Schizosaccharomyces pombe: one gene and its partners. The protein of the gene in region 1 interacts with the protein of each later gene in a biochemical or structural test. Each region holds a gene or a part of one and is shown in the gene's direction. Other genes may lie near its edges. The genes, in order: uba1, ubc1, ubc4 and ubc11.

Region 1 (5,709 bases):
ATGAAAGCAATTTTATTGTATAGAAGAATCCCCTCTTTATCGTCCTTCTTATTGTTAAATATATTTTAATTTACAAACGAGGCAATTGAGCATAAGTTTGGCTATGATGAAGACGCGGAATTTCGCTGATTTGGAGGTTATAAGAAGCAGGTAACAGTATGTGAGTAACAATGATTCTAGTACTACCAAGATGCTTTCGTCTCAATGCAGCTTGATAAATTAGTATCAAATATATGTATTAATAAAATCTCAGCATTTGTTTTGTTCTATTGGAATCGATAAATAGACTGGAAAAAATTGGAAAGAGTTAATCGTTTGGCTACTGAATATATTCGCGAGTGATAAAAACTAAGATCTTTAATTTAATATTTACTCGTATTTTTCATAACAAACGTAACTTGCGGATGGCCAAGCTGATTTCAAAGAAGAAAATCTACTTAGGGAAGTCATCTGCTTGTTTGTCGAGAAAAGATAGCGTCTCCCTTCAAATGTGTGTTAAGGAAAAAAAGGCAAAACTTGAGCATTGCCAACTAATAGAAGAGAATTTTAAAAAGAAATAAATTTGATTATGTAATTTGTAAAATTGGTATAAATATTAGCCATCAACAGAATATTATTATAGAGGTAGAATTCCAATATCTAAGGATCTTCGGATTTCGACTTCTCTAGTAGCAGTGCATGATTAATTACTAACCGAGTATCTTTGGCATTCTTTATGCATTTTTCCGTCAAAAACGAAAGGCGACTCGGAGAGCAAGTGCCTCTTTCCCATACTTGAGTAACGTGACCAAGAGAAGCCATGTACCCCATAACTACAGAACCTTTAGCAGCCCTTGCACGCTCATCCACATAATCAGGATCAATCCAATATTCATCCGTATTGGGATTAAATAATACACTCGAGCCCGTCACCAAATCTATGCAGTCGATGTTAGCATCAGCTATTGCACTTGATGCGCAACTTATAGCAGCAGCCAATGTTGCTAATGCACCGTCACTTTCAATCACTTGAATATAAACGTCTATAGAACTTTTCGGATACAAATGCAGTAATATACTTGGAGAAATTGCTGCTTCAATCATTTGGGAATAGCTTTTTTCTTCGACGGTTTGTACATGTCCCTGACGAACAGAAGTAGAAAATGGGGATAATCTAAATTCACAATTCAACTTTGCTGATGAACGAAAAGCAAAAGTCTTACTAGGTCGAGGACCAGAGACTGTGCATGCAATTTTTATTTTTTCTGATTCAAAATAACTGCTACCGACAGCTTTAGTAGCCCACCCTAATTTTAGATCTAATTGTCAGTGAAAATGTTAATAATCGGTATCTTACATATTTTTCGACATCTGTCAACATCACGAGTCCGCGTGAAAACAGGTTGTTCTGGCTCTTCAAAATAAGGGGGAACGGATACACTCGGTCCATACACTCTCTTTCTATCTGACATCGATTTATAGAGTATTTGTTTTAACCTTGATGTACCGTTAAGAAAACAATACAGAAGCAGCCTGGATTTTCAGTGGTGGCTTCGCGTTTTGGGATGACGCGTTTGCATGCCTTAATATATATAACGATATTGTTTGATTCGGTGTATATATGACATATAGAAAGCAATTTTATCGCATCTAAAAGATTTTTGTAATGACTAAGCGTTTCAATCAGTAAGCTGGAAAATAAAAATGCTTTTAGAATAATGGTGCAAAATTTTTTTTTATCCAGCCAGCATACTTCAAGTGCGCGCTCTTAAATTTAATGAGTAATAAATTGTTAAGCATGTGTAACGAAAGAGCTCGCTATTTGAACATATAAAAACACTATATTATAGCCTACGTATGACTCTCCTCTGCCAACACCACGTTTCGTAATGAGTGTATGTAATTTGTTTAAATGATTCAAGTATTTTTCGCTTCTTACTAACATTGCAAAAGAATAACATGAACATTGATCAAACGGATCAAAATACTATCGATGAAGGGCTTTACTCTAGACAACTGTAAGTTTTATTAGAAACATGAAGAGTCATTATTACCGGTGTTGATTTGGTTTAGCTTTATGTTTTTATATTCTTTCTTGTACTGAGCGCTTGCTAATTTATCTAAAGTTATGTTTTAGGCCATGAGGCTATGAAACAAATGAGTCAGTCGAATGTCTTAATCATTGGCTGCAAAGGTTTAGGCGTTGAAATAGCAAAGAACGTTTGTCTAGCAGGTGTAAAAAGCGTTACTCTTTACGATCCTCAACCTACACGCATTGAGGACTTATCATCACAATATTTTCTTACAGAAGACGATATTGGTGTTCCTCGTGCAAAAGTAACGGTATCAAAGTTAGCAGAGCTTAATCAATATGTGCCTGTTTCTGTAGTTGATGAACTTTCAACAGAGTATCTAAAAAACTTCAAATGCGTGGTTGTCACAGAAACTTCTCTTACGAAACAGCTAGAAATTAACGACTTTACACACAAAAACCATATTGCTTATATTGCTGCTGACAGCCGTGGTCTTTTTGGATCGATATTTTGTGATTTTGGTGAGAACTTTATTTGTACTGACACTGATGGAAATGAACCTTTAACTGGAATGATCGCTTCAATTACTGATGATGGAGTTGTTACCATGCTTGAAGAAACTCGTCATGGATTGGAGAATGGTGATTTTGTTAAATTTACCGAAGTGAAGGGTATGCCTGGTTTAAATGATGGCACTCCTCGTAAAGTTGAAGTGAAAGGTCCATATACCTTTTCTATCGGATCTGTTAAAGATTTAGGAAGTGCCGGTTACAATGGTGTCTTTACCCAAGTTAAAGTTCCAACCAAAATATCTTTCAAATCTCTCCGCGAATCGCTCAAGGACCCTGAATATGTATATCCTGACTTTGGTAAAATGATGAGACCTCCACAATACCACATTGCTTTCCAGGCCCTTTCAGCATTTGCCGATGCGCATGAAGGTTCATTGCCTCGACCCCGTAACGACATTGATGCAGCTGAATTTTTCGAATTTTGTAAGAAAATTGCAAGCACACTTCAATTTGATGTTGAACTCGATGAAAAACTAATTAAGGAAATTTCATACCAGGCAAGAGGTGATTTGGTTGCAATGTCCGCGTTTTTGGGCGGTGCTGTAGCACAGGAAGTGTTGAAAGCTACCACCAGTAAATTTTACCCATTGAAGCAATACTTCTATTTTGACTCCTTAGAAAGCTTGCCATCTTCTGTAACGATCAGTGAAGAAACTTGTAAACCTCGTGGCTGTCGATACGATGGGCAAATCGCTGTTTTCGGTTCGGAATTTCAAGAGAAAATAGCTTCTTTGAGTACGTTTTTGGTTGGTGCTGGCGCTATTGGATGTGAAATGCTGAAAAACTGGGCTATGATGGGTGTCGCTACTGGTGAAAGTGGTCATATTTCTGTTACTGATATGGACTCCATTGAAAAATCGAATTTGAATCGTCAATTTCTCTTTCGTCCTCGTGACGTCGGAAAGCTGAAGTCCGAATGTGCTTCTACCGCTGTTTCAATCATGAATCCTTCATTGACTGGTAAAATAACTTCATATCAAGAACGTGTTGGACCAGAAAGCGAAGGCATATTTGGCGATGAATTCTTTGAAAAGTTATCTTTAGTCACGAATGCTTTGGATAACGTCGAAGCTCGAATGTATGTTGACCGCCGTTGTGTATTTTTCGAAAAGCCATTATTAGAGTCTGGTACTTTGGGTACTAAGGGTAATACGCAAGTTGTTGTACCTCATCTTACAGAGTCGTACGGATCATCCCAAGACCCTCCTGAAAAGTCATTTCCTATCTGTACTTTGAAGAACTTTCCTAACCGTATTGAGCACACCATTGCATGGGCTCGCGATCTCTTTGAAGGCTTGTTTAAACAGCCTATCGATAACGTTAATATGTACCTTAGTTCTCCTAACTTTTTGGAAACTTCATTGAAAACGAGTAGTAACCCCCGTGAAGTTTTAGAAAATATTAGAGATTATCTTGTTACGGAGAAGCCTCTTTCATTTGAGGAATGTATTATGTGGGCCCGTTTGCAGTTTGATAAGTTCTTTAACAACAACATTCAGCAATTACTTTTCAATTTCCCTAAGGATTCTGTAACCTCCACTGGCCAACCGTTTTGGTCTGGTCCTAAGCGTGCCCCTACTCCATTATCTTTTGATATTCACAACCGTGAGCATTTTGACTTCATAGTTGCAGCAGCCAGTCTTTATGCATTCAACTACGGCCTTAAGAGTGAGACAGACCCAGCTATTTACGAACGCGTTCTTGCTGGCTACAATCCTCCTCCCTTTGCTCCCAAGTCTGGTATTAAAATTCAAGTCAATGAAAATGAAGAAGCTCCCGAAACCGCTGCTAATAAAGATAAACAAGAACTGAAATCGATTGCTGACAGTCTACCACCTCCATCCTCTCTTGTGGGTTTTAGACTAACTCCGGCAGAATTTGAAAAGGACGATGACTCTAATCATCACATTGACTTTATAACGGCTGCATCAAATTTGCGTGCCATGAATTACGACATCACACCTGCGGATAGGTTTAAGACGAAGTTTGTTGCCGGTAAAATTGTACCAGCCATGTGTACATCAACTGCTGTCGTTTCAGGACTTGTATGTCTTGAGCTTGTTAAACTTGTTGATGGCAAAAAGAAGATCGAGGAATATAAAAATGGATTTTTCAACCTTGCTATAGGGCTCTTTACATTTTCTGATCCTATTGCTTCTCCGAAAATGAAAGTCAATGGTAAAGAAATCGACAAAATCTGGGATCGCTACAATCTCCCGGACTGCACACTTCAAGAGCTTATTGATTATTTCCAAAAAGAAGAGGGGTTGGAAGTGACCATGCTTTCATCTGGAGTTTCTCTTTTGTATGCTAATTTCCAACCACCTAAGAAACTTGCTGAAAGGTTGCCTCTCAAAATTTCTGAATTGGTTGAGCAAATTACTAAGAAAAAACTAGAACCTTTCCGGAAACACTTGGTGCTTGAAATTTGCTGTGATGATGCCAACGGTGAAGACGTTGAAGTTCCATTTATTTGTATCAAGTTGTAATACCTTTGAGAACCGGTTAATTCCTGGAATTTGCAACATTTAATGCCAATGGCTCTAATAAATTTACTAAATTAGTATTAGCAGTCTTTAAAAAACATTAATAGGCATGTATGAATAATTTATTATTTTTCCTATACTCTTTCTAATTTTTATGAACTAAGATCTGTTATATTTTAAAAAGTATTTTGACATGTAGTAAAATTGTTGTTTTTTTGAGCAATTTTTTTAACGTCGGCGATTGGCATTTACGTAAGTTTCGACTGCTAACCTCCTAATTTACCTAAGAGTATATCTTTACTCGGCTACAAAAGTCTATCGTATACATTATATTAAATTTAACTAGAATTATTGCCAATGTCTACTGCCTCAAAACTTTGTATCGTCGGGGCCGGTGTCTTTAGTGTTTACATGGTTTATTTCGTACATAATAATCAGATTATTGAACGAGAGGTAATATTTACTTATATTAAAGAAAATATGCACCATAGCTAATGTAAGTATAGAAAATGTCGGCGGGAGTTCAAAAAGATGATGAAAGGAAAAGAATTAAAAAAGAAAGGTTTGAAGACCTAAAGCGACAACAAGAGTTACGAAAATTTTACGAAAGCCAGCTACCTGTTGAAGAGGACGAAAAGG
Region 2 (5,845 bases), 880 kb from region 1:
AAAAAAATTGAATTACTAGATTTTGGAGCATCAATTGAATATGATGAAAAGTTCATCAAGAAATATTGCCGACTTTTACTAGCGGCGGCTCATCGTAACCGAGAAAAGTGCAAAAAATTATCTGTTGAACTAGGATACTTAAATAATCATGAGTCTGCTCAAATGATAGATGCGCATATAAATTCAATTTTCACTCTTGCGGAGCCATTTGCATTTGATGCACCTGACGTCTACGACTTTGGCGATCAAACGATCACTGCGAGGGTTAAGCAGCAGATTCCTGTTATGCTTGATTTAAGACTTCAACCTCCTCCAGAAGAAACTTATTCATTACACCGTAGACTAAGCGGGCATTTCCTTTTGTGTGCCAAGCTTGGCGCCAAGGTGAGATGTAAGGAATTGTTTTCTGGAATGTTGAAACATTACGCTGATTAAATGTTTTTATATGAAAAAGCCATAGTACCATAGCAACTTGATGACTTAATACAATGATACAAATTTTTTTTTTCCAAAATAGATAACACATTGGTTGAAACCCTATATGTGTGGACCGTATATTTAAAACATATTGTATTAATATTATTATCAATCAACCCTAAAGACCCATAAAGCTTAATAAAAATAAGCTTATAATGCTGGAGGAGCACCCAAAATTGTTCCTTTACATGTTGGCTCAATGTTCATGAAATCCTTTTGTTTCCCGGCTTCGGTTTTTCCAAATAGATTTTCATTCAAAGACTTATCTTTGGAAATGTTTTTCTTGCTGGCATTATCAATCTCTATGTCCGTTTGTTAGATACATAATTGACGGTGGAAATGAAGCTTTCCTGTAAAACACACTATTAAAAAAATTTCTTACCCATTGCAATATCATCTAAATGGATCCCCTTTTCAGCAAGACGTTTCAGCGACTAAATTATTGGTTAGGTATTTCTTTAAAATGCTTAAAGGTGATTTAATCTTACATATTTTCCATTCCTTAATTGCTTCTTTATGGTTTTTTTACTCGCAACACGGCCATGAATAATGGCATTAGGAGCCTTTGAAGCAGACTTTCTTCTATCGTTTCTATGGGGCATTGTAAAAGTTGAATTCAACTTTCGTATATTTTTTGTATTAGTATACTGCAGCAACACGTAAAGCACCTTAAATCAATTTAAAGATACAAGTTCATTTCAAATACAAAAATATAGTATAATATAAGAAAAGAATATCATTAAAGTAATTTATTTTTACATTATATCATCATATAATCATATTTGTGCTTCGGTATTCCAATTACAAAAAGTTCATCGTTATTAGATGCTTCTAATTTATTAATACGAAATAAAAGTTCAATAAGTTACAGCATGATCATATTAAAAGCACGAAAGTGATGTCCTTTATCTATCGTCATTTAGTGCTGCTTAATAACAAAGCTATATCAAATTTGAAAATGCACTACTAATGTCACAATTTTTTATTTTTTATTTTTTTATTGATCAAAATGTTGTTTTATGAATACAAAATTGAAAAATTAAAATAAAGACATGCATGTTTTCTGCAAATTTTGAGATCTTTGCCGTATTCAACAGTCTATTAAATCGATCATTATATGAAGTATAGAAAATAAGACGGTTGCTACATCCTTAGCCCGAAGTTGTATTCAACACACAATATTAACTACTCAACACAATATGTCAGACAATCGTTCTCGTAGAATTGCTAAAGAACTTGCTGGTATTTATAATTTAAAATCTCTAATAAAACCGTACTAATTGAGAAGATGTTCAACAGGATAAGCAAGCAGGAATTCAAGTATGGACTATAAACGATGATATATGTAAGACAGCTAAATACACTATTATATTGCTAATCTTTTTGTAGCACATTTAAAAGGAATGTTTAGAGGTCCTGAGGGAACTCCTTATGAGGGTACGCATCCTACGTAGGTCGTCAAATTAAGAGCTATCACTTGTGAAAAATTTACCGTTGCATCGTTTAAAACCATATTATTATTTAGTTATTTGGTCCTAACATTTTAGGTGGCTACTTCGTCGTCGATATTGAAATTCCTGTAAGTCTACTTAATATTATCTTTCATAGTGTTTATTTACGATTTTACTAATAACATAATTAGATTGGTATGTTATAGGTATCCGGTTCTTTTCTAATTTTGAAAGATTATCCATTTCGCCCCCCTAAAATGAATTTTGATACTAAAATTTATCATCCTAACGTTTCTTCCCAAACTGGAGCTATTTGTTTAGATATATTAAAGGATCAATGGTCACCGGTTTATACAATGAAATCAGCTTTAATAAGTTTACAATCACTTTTGTGCACTCCAGAGCCGTCAAATCCTCAAGATGCTCAGGTAGCTCAAGTGTATCTGCAAAACTACCAACAATTTGTCCGAACCGCCCGCGAATGGACAAGTTCTTATGCTGCCGCACCTGCAGGAGTTGACTTAGATGCAGAAAATACAGAGTTTGGTGGAATTGATCCAAACATTATTACAAATCTACAGCAATTTGGATTTTCAACAGAGCTTATAGTACGGGTTTTACAAAGGGAACACATAAAGAGCCAAGAAGATCTTAAGGACTATCCAAACGGCATCAATGGGATTTTAGATCAGCTATTACATTAAGGAAATGCCTTCGTTTTAAAGACTACATACATGTGAAGGCAAGAGCTAAATATTACTCAAATAAGAGTTATGAACACATTTTGCCATTCTTGGTAACTTTAATGATATACATTTTATTTGATATCAATCTCACATTAAATTTGATCGTTATTGATTGGAGGTACTATAGCTGTTTTGTTCTATTAAAATATCGAAAGATGTATCATATATTTCACGTAACGTTATAAATGGAATGTCATTAGAGATTGATAGTGCGTTTAGTTGTCATAAGCACTATGCACGACGGATTTACAATTCATTAATATCGATATCAGTTGTCCCACTATACAAAGAAGTCAACGGAGGGCGTCGAGAGGGGCTTAATGGTTTTATTGGAGATACAACTTTTTTTTTGGGACTCGGACTGGGTACGTTTTCCTCATCATCACTATTTGGCGCTTGGATCAATGTCGACTGTGGCCACAGTTTGCGTTTTGTATTTATAGTATGGGCTTCCTGAATAGCTTGTTTATCTTCATAAAGCAGTTTGCGAGATGATCTTTTATGCTGATTTTCATTTTGTTGTGTCGCCGAACTTTCTTTAATACTTTCCTCTTCAAGGCTTCGAAGTTCTTCATGTAATTCTTCGATAATTTGTTCTAACTGCGCAATCGTTTCTGTTTTTTCGGAATTTTCATCTTGAAGTTTTTTCATCCATCCTCCCATTTTTTCTAGCTTTTGATCAGTGTATTCTATACCTTGGGCAGATTCTTCAAGCAATTTGGTCAGGAACGTGCGCTCCACCTCAGAAACGCGTTCTTCCATTTCTCGGGTCATTTGTTGACGAATTTCATATTCCAAGTTCATCATCTCTGAATCTGCATCAGCTAGAAGCATCCTTAATTGCTGATTTTCCTGTTGCAATTGTTCCAAGTGTGATGTTAAGGCTTTTGTGCTTGATGTATTTTTGGACTTCTGTAATAATGAATGCGAAGGAGATTGAGAGCCTGAATTTTCATTTAGGGGTGGAGGTAAAATTTCACGAGCATTGGCGCTGTACCTCATTACTTGGGCATTTTCATCAAAGCTACCAAACGGATCAATATTTACAAGCATGTTAATTCCTGCCAGACCAGAAAGATGTCCAGAATGAAACAAAAGTTCTGTAAGTTTACTTTGGCGAAAGGGTATGATATGCTGTTTTCCTTCATGCTTTCTCCGAAGGGCTTCTAAACATTGCCCTAAAGTTAATAAGCTTCGATTGATACTTGCTCCTTCCCTAAGAAGTAGACCTGAAGTTTCTGCGGAACGTGTACGCTCGGATCCGGCTAAATCCACCAAATCTATTTGACAACTTTCAAATTTATTGCTTTTGGTGCAAACTTTGAAGAGCTCAATGGACATGATTAGATGTGAGCGTGAAGAAACAGAATTGGATTTTGTAGAAGTAGATTTTCTAAGTTGTAAAACTTTTTGAATCAATTTGTAAGCTTCAGTGGTGTTTGAAACGAACACTTTTTGAATTCCAGCAATTGATTTTTTATCCGATGTCGAAGATTTCTTCAACGATAAGGCATGACGATGTCCAAAAAAGCTGGCCTTCTCTAGTAAATCGAAAATTCGGTCATTATAGATTTCCGCAAACGACAAGTAAATAGCATACTGATAATTTTTCTCTTCGATTTTGGGAAAATGACTGGCATAATATTCAGTATTAGGTACCTTGATGTCCAACGGGGCTTCTCCTCTTAAAAATTTTGATGCTTCAACAATTTTGCATTTTTCAAGTTGAGAGCGTAAAAACTCGACTGTTTGGGGCTAAAATCGTCAGCATTAAATTCGTCATATTATATTTCAAAACGAGAATAGCAATGATTTAAAATAAAAAAAAGTCATCAGAAAGAAACATGTTTTGCTTAAAAATCGTCAATGGTATGTGTACTTACACTTGCCTCTCGTCCCTTGATAGCATAAAACAAGGCGTCTAATGCAAGGAACGCAACACCCGGACGATCTGAAGGACCGAAAAGCGTATAAGTTTTACCTGCTCCCGATACACCAAGTGTAAACAACAAGGTATCGTTCATGTTTACCAAGGAATCCGCTATTAAAGGAGCGCAAATAGTAGAAAAGACATCGAGCTGTGTGCAAGAGGGAGGAAAGACTTTAGTAAAAGAAGCCTTTTCTAACGTTTTAGATTTGGAAACTCTGTAAGCATGTGAATCCTCGGGAGATTCCAGCAAAATTTCGTAATCGTTAAGCACCGTAAGAAATCCATATTTATTTGAAGCGTCCGAACTCGGCTGTGCTTTTTTGACACGCAGAAAAATCTGAAATTGTCAGCAATTTTAAATAAAGGATTAGAAATTGCTTACCTGTATCATTGGTCAATTTCAGAGTTTAAAGGGACTTAAAAGCAATCCTTTGTGTACAAGAATGATGGAAGTGTTGGAAGACAGTTGCTCACAGCACTTTGTTTTACTTCGTTACAATTGCGATGATTTCTGTAGAGCTCTTTATAGGAGAAAAAAATTAAGAGATCTTGAAATGTAATGTTCAATCTAGTTAAATAGATTATTTTTAGTGATTTAGAAAGAAAAAAAAAAGAATCAAGCATTAAGGATGGACGAAATATATATTAGATAAAAAGAAAGAATAATTAGATGAACAAGTAAGAATTTTTCCTTGCCCATTTTTAATAAACCTAGCTTGAGAACGCGATTGAAGTCGGCTTAGACATAGTTTTCACCATTTTGCACGAATTGAATATTTGTGCAAAATATGCTGTCTTGTAAACAGTACAACGAATTTACGAATTTCTGCGAGTTTAAAGAATCATGCACTTTTATTAGTGTTAATCCGAAATGCGCGCCGACGACTGCGATTGCAATTTGATGTATCCATGGAGTCTGTGATGTCCACAAAAGAAAAAAAAAATAAATTATCACTGAATAAAGAAAAAAATGTAAAAACATTTTAAAATTTAAAAGTCGCACATCAACCGATATAATATATAAATCGATTTTTTCATTTTCATAAACATTGCATTTACTTATTCAAAACAAAAAAAAAATATGTATACATACATATTAAAAAATAAAATAAAATTTTCGCAATGGTACATATCAAAGGAATCATTTTGAATATAGTATCATTTTAATTTCGGTATGAAAAATAATGGCAAACACTATATAGCTTGTATATACATTTGTAACAGCATTTGCTCGTATATCC
Region 3 (3,365 bases), 3.2 Mb from region 1:
CTTATGGGAGAAATTCCCGAACGCCGCATTTTCCGCCAAAAATCTCTCGAAAAAACTTTAGTGCCTTACTTACGTATTAGCCAGGCAGTTCGTATTGGTGACCTTTGTGCTTTCACTGACGCGCTTTCCAAGTATGAGGCTGAATTTCGCTTCGATGGATTGTATACTTTGATATGCCGCCTTCGCCATACCGTCATTAAGACTGGATTGAGGATGATCTCCTTATCTTATTCCCGTATTTCCCTTCGTGATGTTTGTATAAAGCTTGGTTTGGACAGTGAAGAGAGTGCCGAGTACATTGTTGCTAAGGGCATCCGTGATGGAGTTATTGATGCAAGTATCGATCATAGTAATGCCTTTATGGCTAGTAACGAAGCCATGGATATTTATTCCACCGAGCAGCCTCAACAAGCTTTTCATGAACGTATTCAGTTTTGTCTTGCCCTTCATAATGACAGCATAAAAAGTATGCGATATCCCATGGATGCTCACAAAAGTGAACTCGAAGGTGTGGAAGAGGCACGTAGGCGTATGGATAAAGAAATGGCTGAGGCAGATTTAGATGACGATGAGCCTGATTTGGGCGAATTTTAAAAAACTTATGGAAAGTTTATAGATCTTAAAATATACTTTCAAAGTTGTTCAGTTGTATGTTTCTTTAATGTCTATGAAAACTATATGTAGTTTACAGATTGAAATATTTAGTGAGTTTGCGAAGCTGTAACAGAAGGAAAGTTGTTGAAAAACAGTTTTCGATCGGTGCTACAACGCTACAAATGCGTTTGTTGTTTAAACTGAGACTTGGTCTTTGCACATTGTAATAAATGAGTAATACGCTAAAAACACAGGGGTTTGGAGAATGGTCGTGTGCTTTATTTTCAAATTTGTTGTTTTATATTTCGTATATAATACACGTATGCAAACACATTTATGGTTATGCTGTGAAGCAATACAGATTTGATCTTGGATTATGGTTCCAATCAAAGGTATACTTTAGTCTTTTTAATTATAAATGGCGAAATGGGCAAAAAATTTTTGTGCAAATTTATTTTTTGTTATGCATAACTAGAGCAAATAAAGCAATGCTATAAAATGGCTTCCGGCAGAAAATAATAACCACAGTGGATATAAGCTAGTTTTCTAACGTGACTTAAGTAACACTTTATAAAACCAAAGCTATACATTAGTCTCTCCCATTACCACTTTGTCAATTTTAGCTAAGTTAGTAGATATGATCAACACTATATATTTAAAGTGGAACGGCAAGCTCATTTTTTACGTTATAGTAATTTAACAATTTTGTCGATATTTTGAGCAATGGTGTATTCTGCTGTGGTCGCTACGGCGCATATCATCAAATATCGCCTGTCCGGTTTCTCTATTCGCTAAATACGGGAAGATACTGATATAGTCTATATTGTATTTCACAAGTAAAATAGTTTCTGAGTTAGCCATCATGTCGTCAGTTAAACTGATCCTCGTTCTTCAGTTCACTTACAAGCTCTTTTATTGATAAATCGTTATAATACCGCCCCCATAATATAATATCTGTAATTCTCTTTAATTTTGCCCTATTTGTAATACAATAGTATGCTGGATCCCGAAAAAATTTATCGTAACGTAGCGTATCCTTAAAAGGATAACAAACTGTTTAGCGGGTATTTTGCAGGTACAAAGCAAGTTGCGCCATCCTGAAAAATTGCTTACTCAGACAAAGTCGAACTCGTGTGATTTAGTGCATCCATCGGTTATATGTTATTTCTACCTCCGTCCACGTTCTTCCACGAGCAAACTACTGACTTTGTAAAATCGCAAAAGCAAACCAGTAACGATGGCTTTGAAAAGAATTAACCGTGAATTAGCTGATCTTGGAAAAGACCCACCGTCTTCTTGTTCCGCCGGCCCTGTTGGCGATGATTTATTCCATTGGCAAGCTACAATCATGGGTCCTGTAAGTCGCGGCTGTAATAGTGCCTTGCGCACTGCCAAAATTTTGCTTGCTAGGATTGTGCAGCTAACATGATATATAGGCTGACAGCCCTTATGCGGGTGGTGTCTTCTTCTTGTCCATTCATTTCCCTACGGACTACCCATTCAAGCCACCAAAGGTATGTAACTATTTAGTCTTGTGTAGATTATGTAAATACGCATTGTAAGCTTGTGAATCGGAGGAGGAAGTTTGTTATATACAATATGAATTGAAGAGTTGATTGCATCTTGTTTTTCTGGAAAAATCGGTATGGTTGACAGTGATGCAAAATTTTTTAAGTGTTATGGTGAAAGAGTATACGCAGAAGTTTTTTTATAATTGTTTACTCTTACCTTTTATCTTCATTTCTTTATGTTTTACCAGCGGAACTTTATCGATTTTTATACGATTGCGTCCATCCAAGTGAAGCGAGGGCAATTACATTGCGTAGCATTACGAATCTGATTGATAGTCTTTTTTTTTTAATGATAACTAACAGCATATTCGTAGGTAAACTTTACAACCAGAATCTATCATCCCAACATCAATTCAAACGGTAGCATTTGTTTGGATATCCTTCGTGACCAATGGTCTCCAGCGTTGACTATATCAAAGGTATTACTGTCTATCTGCTCATTGTTGACAGATCCTAATCCTGATGATCCGCTTGTGCCTGAAATTGCGCACGTCTACAAAACTGACAGATCCCGTTATGAATTAAGTGCTCGTGAATGGACTAGAAAATACGCAATCTAGAGTTTGTTTCTGTGTTGATATTAAATATTCATCTCTTTTGCGAATTGTTTTCTCCAATGTATTGTATAGTTTTTTTTTTTTTTTTTTGGTTTTGGTTTTTTAAATAAATAGTAGGGGATGGCGATAATGTAGCTAGTAAAGTTGCATCGTAAAATTGAGGATACAAGCTGCCTTTAAAACAAACTGTATTATGTTCGAGGATAAAGTATGATTTGATTTAGATAATTTTTATGATTTTTTGAATAGTACAAAATTTTTCTTTGTGTTTAATAAGACCGAATGGGTCCAGTTGGATTATTCCAAGAGCGTTTGTGCATATATTTTTAAAAAGGTACGTAAACACTGCCGATTAAGTGAAATATTGTGCAAGTAAAAGTAGAATAACACGAATGGAAAGTCGTGTTACGAAGAGAGTAAACGGCTCTACGTCTTTAAGGTTTTGCTAAAAATATTTATTAAACAAAACTAAGTAATAAACAAATTCCTTGTAGCGCCTTTTTGCTGAAAAGAAAATGATAATACTTGACATGCAATACGAAGTGATACTGCTATAGACACAACTCATAATAGCCAGTCAATTCAACTCCTAGTTTTGTATTTGTCTTTACAACGTCGTCTATTGAGCTATTTTATGCTGTGA
Region 4 (3,700 bases), on another chromosome or scaffold:
CCCCATTACGCTTTATAAAGTTTATAAGCTCTAAGTTATGGCCTAAATTAGTTAGTTCAATAACACCTTGCAAGAGACATTTCCGTTTATCATGTAAATTAACATAAAGGATGGTCTGATTTCGAACATATTTCATAGTCACTGAGATTGCAAGTAGTCGTAGACTGTCATAAAGATGATCTATAATGGTTTCTCTCGACGCCCTAGAATAAAACCTAGTGAGTCTTTCAGGAGGACAAATTTCGTAGAAATTCTTAGCCTTTTTGGCCTTTTTCATATAGTTAGAAAAAATTTAGGTTTAAATAAATAATACCAATCTTTTAATAAAACCTTCATTCTCACAAAACTGACTCAATGAGGGGTCTTTTTCAAGGATTTCAGTAACGTCAATATTTTTATTAAGTTGTACTGGCTGGGATAAGGCGCCATAAACTTCTACACGATCCAACTCCTTTTGGTCATTTTTTTTAAAAGCTGGCTGTGTCATTGAAAAACCGCTATCGCTAATTGAAAGAGTTAGAAATATGAAACAACTGTGCAAGATCTTACTTTTGAGATGCTCTAGATGAGGCAAGACGTGGTTTATCTAAATCAATACGAAGTTTCAACATGAGCCTTGATGCCAATGCTACAGGATCGGCACAATTCCCATTTTTAGTTCGAAATGGTGTACTTGAGGTAAGCCATGGGTGCTGTACAACATGTTTGACAGAGTAGCGCTTAAATGGATCACTTCGAAGCATTCCGGTGATAATCGCTGATCATTAGTTTAAAGGAATTTCAGTCAGGACTTACAATAGGCTCCTGGAGACAACAAGTTCCATGGGTGGTAAGACGGGCGTTCACATTGTTTTTTATAAAGCAAGTAGTCACCAGTGTTGCTAATTGCTTCATCCCAAGGTGTGTTGCCTAATAACAAAGCAAAAAGAATTATACCGCAGGACCAGACATCAACTTTTGAACCATCATACTGCTGTGTAATTTCTGGAGCAGCGTATGGTGGACTACCCACTGGACTATTCAAAAGCCTACTTTTACCTTTATAGGAAAATAAAGATGCAAAGCCGAAGTCTGAAATCTTTAAGTTACCATTGTAATCTAAAAGGATGTTCTCAGGTTTCAAGTCTCGATGCGCGACACCTTTAGAGTGCATGAAGGAAATACCTTCCATAAGTTGAGCAAAATAAAACTGAGCGACGTCCTCATCAATACCTACATCAGGCTCTAAATTGTAAGTCCGTTAGTAAAAACGAAAGGTTCATGCACCCACCTATTTTGTCAAATAAGTCACCACCTTGAGCAAATTCAAGTACTACCCATCTCCATTGGGGATTTTCTGCTGTATTATAAAAATGAATGATATTTTTATGTCCATTGCATAGTTTGTGAAGTTGTATTTCACTAGCCATCCTTCTAGCCCATACCCCTGCATTCATACAACTAGTAGCATGTTTTTTATTGACAAATTTGACAGCATATATTTTAGCATTATCATCGTAACATAAACGGACGCTTGCTTAAGTTAGTATATAGTATTTTTCAAATCAAAATTCATACGAAGCAAAAGCCCCAGTACCTATTTCTCTACCAATATGGTAAGGAAAGTTATCTAATTTTTGAGCCATTCTTTGGTGTAAAGGGAAAGAAGATTATAATATAACACAAGCATATGTTGCAAATTTTGGCATGTGTATTATTTACAGTCTTAACATCATCAAAGACTGGAAAAGATTAAATTAAGGTAATTTTTAAATGAGTTTTAAATCTATATAATGATATAAAATTGGACTATAATTTGATATCCGGTTTTCGTTTACTTGTGTACATTAGCACATGTTGTGTTGTGTTTATAACTTACTCTCCTACCACCACGTACTCATTGAGAAACTACAGTAACAACTTGAGGAATGGATTCTGATATGCAAAACCAGAACCCTCATACTAATTCTAAAAACTCTTCTTCTGCTGGCATGGCTGTTGACGGTCATAGCGTTACAAAACGGTAAAAAATAAACAGTTTTTAGGAAAAAAGTCTCTAATGCATTTGTAGATTGAGAAGCGAATTAATGAGTTTAATGGTTTGTAATAAGCTTTTTTACTTTGTTATTAACTAGGGTTTTATGACTAGATGTCCAATACTCCTGGAATTAGTGCGTTTCCAGATTCTGATTCTAACCTGCTACATTGGGCTGGCACAATTACCGGCCCAAGCGATACGGTATGACTTTTATTTTGAAAGCTTAATATTTAAAGTATATGAATAATGCTTGGTGTGCTTACTTGTAGCTGCACTTTAATGGAAAATTAATACACATCTTTGTCATTACATTTTCATAACTGTCTACTCTTCTTTCTTCTTTTTCATACGACTAACGTAACGAAAATAGTACTATGAAGGATTGAAATTTAAAATTTCAATGTCATTTCCAGCTAATTACCCATATTCCCCTCCAACTATCATTTTTACTTCACCAATGTGGCACCCCAATGTCGATATGAGTGGAAACATATGTTTAGACATTTTAAAAGATAAATGGTCAGCAGTCTATAACGTACAGACAATTTTGTTATCTCTACAAAGTCTGCTGGGTGAGCCAAACAATGCTTCTCCCTTGAATGCTCAGTATGTTGAAAATATCTCATTTACCTTTTTTGATTATTAACAATTCTTAGAGCTGCAGAATTGTGGAGTAAAGACCCTATCGAGTACAAACGTCTTTTAATGCAGAGATATAAAGAAATCGATGAAATTTAGTTAGGCCGGTCTATTTCATACTCATTTTCATTTCTGTTTAGTCATATGGATTTTCTTTTCCTATTCAATGCTTGAAAAAATGTCTTTAGTTAAACTTTCTTCATTGATAATGGAAGTTGAAATTATTTCATCTCATCGATTAAGCAATTCCTTCATGCAATGCCACAACCTCCTGAAAACCACCGAATGGTTTTTTAAGGACCGTCTATCATTATTTAGTTCCAGAAGTTGAAGTTGTTATTATGATGCTCGATTAAAGCTATTCTTGTTTAATGCATTCCGTTAATGCAGTCGTTTTTTTAGCTTTCCGTTAGATTATAATACTATTTTATTATTATTGATTCTCAATGTCATTGTGTTATGTATTATCGCAAGACAAGTATCAATGTTATGTTGTGCCTGAATTTTTTTCTGATTAGTAATAGGACTGTATATACAGCCTAATATTTGTATTTCTAATTTTGAGCCTTTAATCCTTATGAAGCCGTATAGTGAAGTATCTTTTCAGTCTCAGAGCATTTTATAGAGTTGCTGAAATTTACACGTCATTTAAAAATTTAAGAGTTTTACCAATTATTATTACAAAAGATTTGTATTTAATTACAAAAGAAAAACTGATTAGAAAATTGAACATTTAAACTGATAGCTGAATAAGCTACTAAAACTGGCTGTTTATATGCTACCAAGAGCATACCTGCGAATGACTAGTACACCAAAGAATCTTGAAAAACAGCCGATTAACTTCGACAATCTCCCCTTGTATTTACAAGGAACCAATTACGGAGAAAATGTGCTTAGAAGTGACCCACGATGGCTGAAATGGGAGAAGTATTTACGAGAGTTTGACATGACAAGGGAGGGCAATGTAACAAATACGCCGAAAGCCATTCCATCTTCATGGAATCCCAACGATAAGTCAGATTCATTAGAATTGATGAATAACAA

Evidence for each region.
Region 2: of the proteins of uba1 (region 1) and ubc1, one has a biochemical effect on the other in vitro, tested with the Schizosaccharomyces pombe proteins (2 studies listed by BioGRID).
Region 3: of the proteins of uba1 (region 1) and ubc4, one has a biochemical effect on the other in vitro, tested with the Schizosaccharomyces pombe proteins (3 studies listed by BioGRID, with this or other methods).
Region 4: of the proteins of uba1 (region 1) and ubc11, one has a biochemical effect on the other in vitro, tested with the Schizosaccharomyces pombe proteins (3 studies listed by BioGRID).

The regions. Positions count from the first base shown.
Region 1 is NC_003423.3:3,886,828-3,892,536, forward strand, and holds uba1 (ubiquitin-activating enzyme E1), read left to right. Parts: upstream 1-1,849; 5' UTR 1,850-1,868; coding exon 1,869-1,874; intron 1,875-1,932; coding exon 1,933-1,997; intron 1,998-2,105; coding exon 2,106-5,073; 3' UTR 5,074-5,209; downstream 5,210-5,709. Other genes in the region: exosome complex component mtr3, read right to left, coding at 640-1,298, 1,337-1,451; Pet117 cytochrome c oxidase assemby protein, read left to right, coding at 5,428-5,523, 5,577-5,709.
Region 2 is NC_003423.3:3,002,759-3,008,603, forward strand, and holds ubc1 (ubiquitin conjugating enzyme Ubc1), read left to right. Parts: upstream 1-1,641; 5' UTR 1,642-1,676; coding exon 1,677-1,719; intron 1,720-1,765; coding exon 1,766-1,822; intron 1,823-1,866; coding exon 1,867-1,914; intron 1,915-2,024; coding exon 2,025-2,056; intron 2,057-2,119; coding exon 2,120-2,123; intron 2,124-2,162; coding exon 2,163-2,632; 3' UTR 2,633-2,920; coding exon of another isoform or gene 2,921-4,429; 3' UTR 4,430-4,557; coding exon of another isoform or gene 4,558-4,941; 3' UTR 4,942-4,986; coding exon of another isoform or gene 4,987-4,995; 3' UTR 4,996-5,345; downstream 5,346-5,845. Other genes in the region: ABC1 kinase family ubiquinone biosynthesis ATPase Coq8, read left to right, coding at 1-435; ribosome biogenesis protein Alb1, read right to left, coding at 628-779, 860-911, 966-1,079; kinesin-6 family microtubule motor protein Klp9, read right to left, coding at 2,921-4,429, 4,558-4,941, 4,987-4,995. UniProt on the Schizosaccharomyces pombe protein: Catalyzes the covalent attachment of ubiquitin to other proteins. Functions in degradation of misfolded or regulated proteins localized in the endoplasmic reticulum (ER) lumen or membrane via the ubiquitin-proteasome system.
Region 3 is NC_003423.3:713,502-716,866, forward strand, and holds ubc4 (ubiquitin-conjugating enzyme Ubc4), read left to right. Parts: upstream 1-1,783; 5' UTR 1,784-1,831; coding exon 1,832-1,951; exon of another isoform or gene 1,952-2,030; coding exon 2,031-2,108; exon of another isoform or gene 2,109-2,266; intron 2,267-2,479; coding exon 2,480-2,725; 3' UTR 2,726-2,810; downstream 2,811-3,365. Other genes in the region: 19S proteasome regulatory subunit Rpn3, read left to right, coding at 1-594. UniProt on the Schizosaccharomyces pombe protein: E2 ubiquitin-conjugating enzyme that catalyzes the covalent attachment of ubiquitin to other proteins. Mediates the selective degradation of short-lived and abnormal proteins. Mediates ubiquitination of pex5.
Region 4 is NC_003421.2:1,057,945-1,061,644, reverse strand, and holds ubc11 (ubiquitin-conjugating enzyme E2-C Ubc11), read left to right. Parts: upstream 1-1,856; 5' UTR 1,857-1,907; coding exon 1,908-2,002; intron 2,003-2,050; coding exon 2,051-2,078; intron 2,079-2,128; coding exon 2,129-2,218; intron 2,219-2,387; coding exon 2,388-2,623; exon of another isoform or gene 2,624-2,673; coding exon 2,674-2,755; 3' UTR 2,756-3,159; downstream 3,160-3,700. Other genes in the region: protein kinase Chk1, read right to left, coding at 1-268, 314-503, 550-757, 796-1,224, 1,271-1,512, 1,558-1,625; gid1 (putative Ran GTPase binding protein), read left to right, coding at 3,456-3,700. UniProt on the Schizosaccharomyces pombe protein: Catalyzes the covalent attachment of ubiquitin to other proteins.